2 linked regions of the Arabidopsis thaliana genome follow. The protein of the gene in region 1 interacts with the protein of each later gene in a pairwise test. Each region holds a gene or a part of one and is shown on either strand. Other genes may lie near its edges.

Region 1 (5,940 bases):
AATCATGAAAGCAGAGGCAGAATAAGAAAACTGAAGAACTAAAACCCCTAAGACTATTGAAGAAGAGACTCACCTGAAAAGAACGGATTCTTTGAGCTTAACCCCAAACAAAAGTTGCTCGGAGAAAAAGCGATTTAGAGAAAGATCCGGAAAATTCCAATCTACAACTGCAAAGACGTGGTCTTTGTCTAAAACCCACAACAGATATAGTATCAATCACCAACAAAGGTTACTACTTTTGTATCTTCCTTCTTTGAGGTATTTTTAGTTGTACGATCTTCTTTTTTTTTATTTTGCCGGTCTCTGAAAAAAAACAGGAATGGAAGACGAAACTCAAGTGATGGTGGACCTCTAGATGCTGAGGGTTAAAAAGTCCTCTGAAAATTGCAACACTCTCTTTTTTCTAAAAACAAAATAATTCTTGGTTTTGACAATGACATGTCCCTTTTTTTATTACAAAAAAATCTATCACACTTACTTTGAATGTAAATTCATTTTCATCATCTCTTGGAAGTTTACATTAGAATCCTCACTAAATAAGATTTAAGACACAAGCGATGAAACTACAAAACTCAAATAGAACATCTTAATATTGTTAAATGATTACAGTACAGAAGTTGCAAGGTTAAAACACCTTTACCACACACAAAAGTAACAAAAAAAAACAAAATTCAATAACCTTTCTAAGATAATCGAAGATGCTATATAAACAACATTGAACTTTTCAAATGCTAAATTAAAAACTGATGACTACAACTAAAACAACATGAATTACCACAACCATGTAGAAGAAACCTACATACAAAGAGTCTTTTGTTTCCCAGAAATTTGCTTATTTGTTGATGGATTTGGTAAGAAGAATCTGACAAGTGTTGATTAATAGTCTCTCCTGGTTTTGTGTCCATATGGATTTTGTACAGCTGACATGTGACCAAAATACAGTTTCACTCTCTGGGTCGAGCAAGCCATAAGGAGCTTAGAGCTCGTAGCCGTGAGAAGTAATCGTGTATTGCAAGTAGAGCACGTGCTGACTGTCTCGTTGTTAATACTCTTATCATCTGTTGCAATGTTTGTAGTCTCAAATTATCAGCCTGCCACCACCAACCAAGAGACGATTATTAACCTATTGATATATATATATACTCTTAACTAAGATATCATCTCAAAACATCACAAGTGTTGTACCTGGCGGATAAATCCTTCGAGTGTACCTAACTTTCCCATTGCCATGGCCATCTGACCCATGTAGCTTGCGACATTCCCTGATGAACTTGAACCAAGAGTCCCGCTCGATAAAGTATCAGCTAGTGACTGTTGTAAGCTCTCCATCCCTTGAGACAAAGCATCTTCAGCCTGCTGCGATGTCTGTTGCAGGTTATTTATGCCCATCAACTGTCTCTCTGTCATTGGCTCCAACTGATTCGCCAGAAGCTGTTTCAACACATTTTTCCCTATGACCATTCTTTTTATGTTCTATGTAGAAACAGATGCAATCGGTGAAGACAAAGTGAAATTTGACCTCACCTTTAGAAGTTCGGATGAACGAAATCCACCGAGCCACAAGAAACATCTCTCAGCTGGTGTTTTCCACATGCCAGATAGCAAGTGAAAGACATCATTCTTAGCTGCATTGCTCTTTATCCTGAAAAGCTCCTCATAGTGAGCCATCACACCATCGACTATTATTCGAAGCTCAGAATCACCTGCATGCGCATTCAGAGCAGACCTCAGCTCGTTCATTTGCTTGTTCTTTTCTTCCAACCACCGTGAATGTTCAGCATCAAACGCCAAAGCACCTGAATTAAAAAATTTATACATGATCAAAACAAACCCATGAGATTCGTCATCTTGTAAATCTAAATCTACACCAGTGCTAATTAGAATAACAGTTTTTGCTATCAGAACCATGTCAGTCTGCCACTGACTCTGATAACCCAGTGTATTGTAATGGGATGAGATATGATGTACTAATTGATCAGTCTACACCAAGTCAACAGGAAGTTGATATATGAACTTAACTTATACACAAATTAGAAGCCAAAAAATAAACATAATTAAAACTAATGGAGAATAAGCAACCAACCATTTCCACCAGTAGAATGGGCCTGGTCTCCTGTGCCTGAAATGAAGACGCCCTAGAAACAAGAAATTTACCGTTAGGTATACAGAATAACAAAATAAAAATCAATAGAAATAAGAAACAAATTTGAACCTGCTGTCTTGCTCTTTGCAGCTCCTGCTCAAGCTGGGTTAGTTTCAAGCGGCTGTTCTCTAGCTGCTGAACATAAGCCTATGGAGGGAGCAATTAAAAGGAATTAACGTAGTACCAAATAGCTATGCTTCTAGCGATGCACCAATTTAAAAAGAAAAGAAAAAGTAAAAAAAGATAAAACCAATGGAAGGTAATATACCTTCTTCCTCAATCTGCTTTTCCTTGCTGCCTCACGGTTTTGAGCAAGCCTACGAAGAGTCTATGGATCAAAATATAAGGAAACAAAAAGAGATTATAAATTGGCTGAATAAAAACAGTGATCTTATCTACAGAGATGGACATGTCACCTTTTGATCCATCTTTCCCTTCGATCGGTCACTCGAATCAGAAGCAGCAGTATTCACTAGTGCTCCCTCCGACTGCATTAAAATTAACACCAGAATTTTTGTTTGGTCCATAAAAAATCACACTATTTTGAAGAATATAAGTGATAAAATCTAGCCAGATTATGAGCTAACCCCAAGATCAGGATGATCTGTGTCGTCATCTGTTGAGACATCAGTTCTCGGACTGGTATCAGCCATATTACTTTCTCACCACTTTTCTGTACTAACACTTGATAACAAAGACAATATCCACTTGTGGCCTCTCTTTTAGTAACAACTTCTTGAAATTTCTCTTGTGTGCACAGACTGCCAGGATTCGGAAGGAAATTAAGAAAAAGAAAAAAAGACAGAAAGAACAAAATTAGGTGATAGAATATAAAAGAAAGATCAACACCTACCAATACGAATCAATAGGAAATGAATCAGGAACAAATGTTGGTCACCCGGAGCATTGGCTGCGCTGAATGAGCACAAAAAAAAACAGCATTACATACCATCTCTTTTGCTAACATAGTTTTCAATTATGTCCTATAAAGTCAAGAAAAAGGTTCTCTAGTTTGTTTCAGTTAAACAAGCCAGCTAAAGAATGCTAAAGAGTCCTTTACTTATTCAAAGTGTCCTAAGGGAAATTCTGCTGACTACCATAAGTCACAAAGTCAAATATATAAGAACAATCTGTTTGTAGCTAACAGACTGACAAAAATAGCCCATCAAAAACACAACCTTTAAAGCAATTCATCAAACCCAATCAGACATGTAGCTTGCACAATCTACAAAGTCTGAGAAACTCATTCAGACCTTAAGCTTAGCTCGCGGATCAAAGTCAAAATCAGTGAGACTTAAGGTGTTGGCACAGTCGAAAATGCCTGAGTTTGAAAAATTAGGTACAGTCACACTCACACACATCATTTCAATTCAGTTTGAATGACACTAAAGTAGCTTCAGTAGCTGAATCTCTTAGTTTTGCAACTCTAGCTAGAACAAAAACTATTCAGTATTCACATCCGAGTTGACTCAATTCCTTACTCAGTATTCATATCCGAGTAAAGTAAAAAAAAAAAGCTAAACTCTAAATCTAGAACCAGTGAGAATTCGGCATGAAGCTGCAGCTATGATTTCAAACCAAGAAACTACCACCGAAACAGAATTCAAGAGATTAACATTTAATTCGATGATTTTGGTAGCTCAAAATTAAGAACAAAATCACCAATTAAAAAAAAAAAAAAGCTGAACTCTTTAAGCTTGAGAAAGTCAACTAGGTTTAACTTCAAAAGCAAAAAGACAGAGTTAACAAGTAGCTTCTTAGGACTGTGAAGGAGAAAACTCCCAGAAAAAAAACAAAGGAAGAAAAACCCTAGAAAAAAAGGTTGGCTTGATGAAGAAACTGACCTGGAAAAACGAAATCTTGAAGGTGCACAAGTAAAGGGCTTGATTCGAAATCGGATTGAAACAAAGAAACAGAGAGAGACACGATCCGAAATTCCAATCTCCGAGACGTCGTTTTGTCTACAAATCTACCAGTTCCCCATAGACCCTCGACCAAAATTTAACGGGAAATTTCAAACTAAACCCTATACTCTTTATTTTTACCATTAACCAACCCTACTATCTTATAATTGCAAAACCCACCCCGTATTTTCAACACCTGAAATTCAATTCACTCTCACTCTCACTCTCACTCTCACTCTCACTCTCTCACTACTTCACTCATTCAGCAGATCCTCTTCATTCTCTATTCTTAACTCATTAATGGCTACCAGATTCAAGCACCAGTTTTCAATCTCACTAGCCTTGACATTCTTCTTCTTCTTCACCAAGACCTTCTCTTTCACAGAGAACGAGGAACTTGGTAACCTTCTCAGATTCAAAGCCTCCTTTGATGATCCAAAAGGCTCTCTTTCAGGTTGGTTTAACACTTCTTCTTCGCACCATTGTAACTGGACTGGTATCACATGTACTAGAGCTCCTACTCTTTACGTCTCTTCCATTAACCTTCAAAGTTTGAATCTTTCTGGTGAAATCTCTGACTCCATTTGTGACCTCCCTTACCTCACTCACCTTGACCTCTCCTTGAACTTCTTCAATCAGCCTATCCCACTTCAGTTGTCTCGTTGTGTTACTTTAGAGACTCTTAATCTCAGCTCTAATCTCATCTGGGGCACAATCCCTGATCAGATTTCTGAGTTTAGTTCCTTGAAAGTTATTGACTTTAGCAGTAACCATGTCGAAGGTATGATTCCAGAAGATTTAGGGTTATTGTTTAATCTCCAAGTTCTCAACTTGGGAAGTAATTTGCTCACTGGTATCGTCCCTCCTGCTATTGGGAAGCTAAGTGAGCTTGTTGTTCTTGATTTGTCTGAAAACAGCTATTTGGTTAGTGAGATTCCTTCTTTTCTTGGGAAGCTAGACAAGCTTGAACAGCTTCTGTTGCATAGGTCAGGGTTCCATGGAGAGATTCCTACTTCGTTTGTTGGTTTGACAAGTTTGAGAACCTTGGATCTGAGTTTGAACAACCTGAGTGGTGAGATTCCTCGATCATTAGGCCCTTCTCTCAAGAACTTAGTGTCTCTTGATGTCTCACAGAATAAGTTATCTGGCTCTTTCCCTAGTGGCATTTGCAGTGGTAAAAGGCTTATTAACCTTTCTCTCCACTCGAATTTCTTTGAAGGGTCATTGCCTAACTCCATTGGTGAATGCCTTAGTCTGGAGAGGCTTCAAGTGCAGAACAATGGATTTTCTGGTGAGTTTCCAGTTGTGTTGTGGAAATTACCCAGGATTAAGATTATTAGAGCGGATAATAATCGGTTCACAGGTCAAGTGCCAGAGTCTGTGTCTTTGGCTTCTGCATTGGAGCAAGTTGAGATAGTCAACAATTCCTTTTCTGGTGAAATCCCACATGGTCTTGGATTGGTTAAGAGCTTGTATAAGTTTTCTGCTTCACAAAACCGGTTTAGTGGAGAGTTACCGCCGAATTTTTGCGACTCACCTGTCCTTAGTATTGTAAACATCTCTCACAATAGGCTCTTAGGAAAGATCCCAGAACTGAAAAACTGCAAGAAGCTTGTCTCTTTGTCTCTAGCAGGCAATGCATTCACCGGAGAAATCCCGCCATCACTTGCTGATTTACATGTTCTGACCTATCTTGATCTATCTGATAATAGTCTTACTGGTTTGATCCCTCAAGGCTTACAGAACCTAAAGCTTGCTCTTTTTAACGTGTCATTCAATGGATTATCAGGTGAGGTACCTCACTCTCTGGTCTCCGGGTTACCAGCTTCCTTTCTGCAAGGAAATCCTGAGCTTTGTGGACCCGGTTTACCCAATTCTTGCTCCTCTGATCGG
Region 2 (3,062 bases), on another chromosome or scaffold:
TGTCAATTTATAATCTAACGGATTCTCTCAACATATCTCCTTTGATTGAGTCATTGCGCAAAGTGAGGATAAATGAAAAAGATTGGACCTTTCGGTGATAAACATGTATATATATGTATCAACAATATGCATCGTACATGGTGATTCCGCCAACACCAACTTGCCAAAGAAAATTATTCCATCTTTCTTTTTTATATATTCTTCTTTCACACTTACACTAATGTTTGATTCACTTCTCTCGAAATGTCTTTCTTGCCGGACGCACGCGTGAATCACACGCATATGTTAACTCTGCTGCGTCATTCTTGGCTTACTTTTCGATTGTTTTGTGGGTGTAGTAATCTTTTCATGAGCGAGATTCTCTTTTATGTTTGATTCAAAAACGATCATATATATACTAGTTATAGCATAGTTACGTTCGATATTCATTTGTATATCGGTTAGGTATTATACTACGTACATTTTTTTCTATAATCGGAAGATATTATGCTAAATCCAGATGATATTCCGATATTAACAGAAATCTTTACGTGATGATTGATTACAGTCTAGTTTCTCCGTATCAACTGATAATTAATCTCCACGAGCATCGGAGCATGCATAATCTTCTATATATATGGTTACTAAAAGTATAATTCAATATTCATGCAAGCTTAGATAAATATATGTATGTATTATTCACGAGATGACATAATATGAACTAGTGTGTGTAGAATAAATGATAGTAAGAAGCGTGATGATATGTAGTCACAACCATATGGCGTTAGAGGCCTTTAACATCTGCTTGAGGGAGCCATCCACGTGGAAGGAGATGACGTCTTTAGCTGAGCCGACGTACCTTCCTCCTACGAAAACCGCAGGGACAGCAGGGTTAGACCCGAATACCCGGAAGAGGGCCCGTTCCATGTCAGGGCCTTGCGGGTCCTTGTCAAGCTCATGGATGGCAGGACTCGCCCCGAGTTCGTAGAAGAGAGTCTTGATGCTATGACACATGCAACACGAGCTCTTCGTGAATATCACAGCCGCCTTCTCCGATGCCAAATCTCTTACTCGTTCCATCGACGATGTGACAAAGAAGTGTTAATTCGAGGCCTTGAGTATGGATGATAAACAAGCCGATCGATCAAACTATTATTTATAGCCCCGCCGCATTCGGCATATATTTTCGGAAAATGAACGCGATCAATTATATAGTTTGGTATGTTATCAAAAAAGGTAAGTTGTGTCGCTTTCGGTCTGCGACAGGCAGCAGCATCACATACCCTTGACATTTGTTTATACATCACAATATATAGTAGTTTTTCTTTGGAATAAATTTATGGACAAAAAGCTGAAATTTATTGTTTTTTTTTTTGTAAGTTAGTTATTCAAACGTATAATTTAAAATGATAATAATATACAAAGGTCAAAAGCAAAAATCTGGTGTTGACTGGTGTGGTGTTTAAAAATGTCATCTAATAAAAAAAAAACATAGGCTTTTTGTTTTTGTTACAGATTAATAAAGTAGTAATTATATAGTTATTTTCATTACATCTAGGTACGTTTTGGCCAACCTGTTAGAGAGGGAGCCAAAATACTTTTCTAGTGTGGTCACAGCAATTGAGTTGTGGAATCACCAACCCAAATTCCAAACCAAGACTTGATTTCATCCTCTCTTTTTTCAAGATATTTGTCATTAATGTATATATTCCCTTACAAAATATCTCACAGGTAAGGTAGATATATTACCTTGTCGAGGGGATCCAACGACGTGGCAAACGCAAGGACCAGTCATGTTAATTAGATTCTTTTAGTTCAAATCTCGACGTCCATAGTTCTTCTATGTAGGTCGTAGATTATATTCTGTTTTTTTTTTTCCTGTCATCACAAGGCGTTGACACTTGACATAGTGCAAATTCTCTGTACCTATAAAGCAAAGATTAGGCCCGTGAGTAAAAAAAATCTCACAGTTTTTTTCACGTCTAATATACTCCGGAAGATTTGTAGTGGGCCGTTGAGCGCAATGAGATATAATATATAGGCCTACTAGAAAAGGCCTAGAAAAGTGACAAAGGGATCAAGACTTAATTCTTGCCCCATTGAGCTGGAAACAAAACTAGAACAAAATGTTTTCCGTTAAGGGTCTTCTTGATCCATATCAATATATCATCATCAACGAACAGTATATACAAGACAAGCTTTACACACTTGGGAATGTATTATGCAACTCTAGAATCTGTAAATTACAAATTTACACACTCAAATTCACTCTCGTCTTTTCTTTGTTAAAGAAATATTACAAAAGAGTAGAAGAAGAAGAAGCAAGCAAGTCAAGAAACAGAGTGACATCTTCTCTTCTGAAACATGAATCGTCTTTCCGAATTCGTTTTCTCCTCCGTATGCTTTTTACCGCTACTGGCAACACTTTGGCTGCTCCTAAATCTCAAAACGATTGCGTTCAACTTGTTCAGACCTCTCGAGAGCTTCCTCAACATTCCATAACGCCTCCTCCTGCTCTGCGGCTTCACGAAGTCTCTCTTCATCGATACATGATCTTTCTCCAGGTCCGTTAGCCTCATCCTCATCCTGGCCACCTCTAGTCTCAGCTCTCTGTTCTCTCTTCTCACTGATGCATAGTTGTCCCTCGGCGAGATGGCTCCGCTTGCCATCCCGCTTCCCGAGCGGTTTGGGAACAAGAAGAACTGGCTTTGGTTCGAACCGCCTGTGCCACCGCCGCTGGTCATGGCGTTCTTGAGCCGTGTCTGTTCGTAGAACAGGACTTGAACCGCAATCTGAACCGGAAGTCTCTCGTTTTGCGCCGCGTGGCTGCTTGCGTCCTGCGACAGTTTCTTACAGCTGACTGTCTTGCAGAGACGGTAACGTTCCGAATCTTTCATGTGGGGGTGAACCTAATACAAAACCGTAACACAGCAATCAAAATCATACAACACTCATTCTCAAAAGCAGACTCTTTTATACCTTGAGGAAGATATCAACGGCTCGGTAGAGGCCATCGCAGACGACGCGAGCATGGTCAGGGAGAAGCTCTGCGAGTGCTATAAACTTGGAGGGAGGAAGGCTCG

Evidence for each region. Proteins that work in one complex are often made in the same cells at the same time.
Region 2: the proteins of AHBP-1B (region 1) and AT2G47870 interact in a two-hybrid assay, tested with the Arabidopsis thaliana proteins (one study listed by BioGRID).

Annotation. Positions count from the first base shown.
Region 1 is NC_003076.8:2,149,179-2,155,118, reverse strand, and holds AHBP-1B (bZIP transcription factor family protein), read right to left. Parts: upstream 4,280-5,940; 5' UTR 3,988-4,279; exon of another isoform or gene 3,984-3,987; intron 3,811-3,983; exon of another isoform or gene 3,322-3,810; intron 3,059-3,321; 5' UTR 2,997-3,058; exon of another isoform or gene 2,993-2,996; intron 2,905-2,992; 5' UTR 2,797-2,904; coding exon 2,731-2,796; intron 2,632-2,730; coding exon 2,560-2,631; intron 2,472-2,559; coding exon 2,412-2,471; intron 2,291-2,411; coding exon 2,213-2,290; intron 2,136-2,212; coding exon 2,084-2,135; intron 1,797-2,083; coding exon 1,525-1,796; intron 1,432-1,524; coding exon 1,186-1,431; intron 1,092-1,185; coding exon 945-1,091; 3' UTR 533-944; downstream 1-532. Other genes in the region: AT5G06940 (Leucine-rich repeat receptor-like protein kinase family protein), read left to right, coding at 4,348-5,940.
Region 2 is NC_003071.7:19,601,336-19,604,397, reverse strand, and holds AT2G47870 (Thioredoxin superfamily protein), read right to left. Parts: upstream 1,236-3,062; 5' UTR 1,060-1,235; coding exon 748-1,059; 3' UTR 503-747; downstream 1-502. Other genes in the region: SETH6 (Phototropic-responsive NPH3 family protein), read right to left, coding at 2,310-2,888, 2,959-3,062. UniProt on the Arabidopsis thaliana protein: Has a glutathione-disulfide oxidoreductase activity in the presence of NADPH and glutathione reductase. Reduces low molecular weight disulfides and proteins.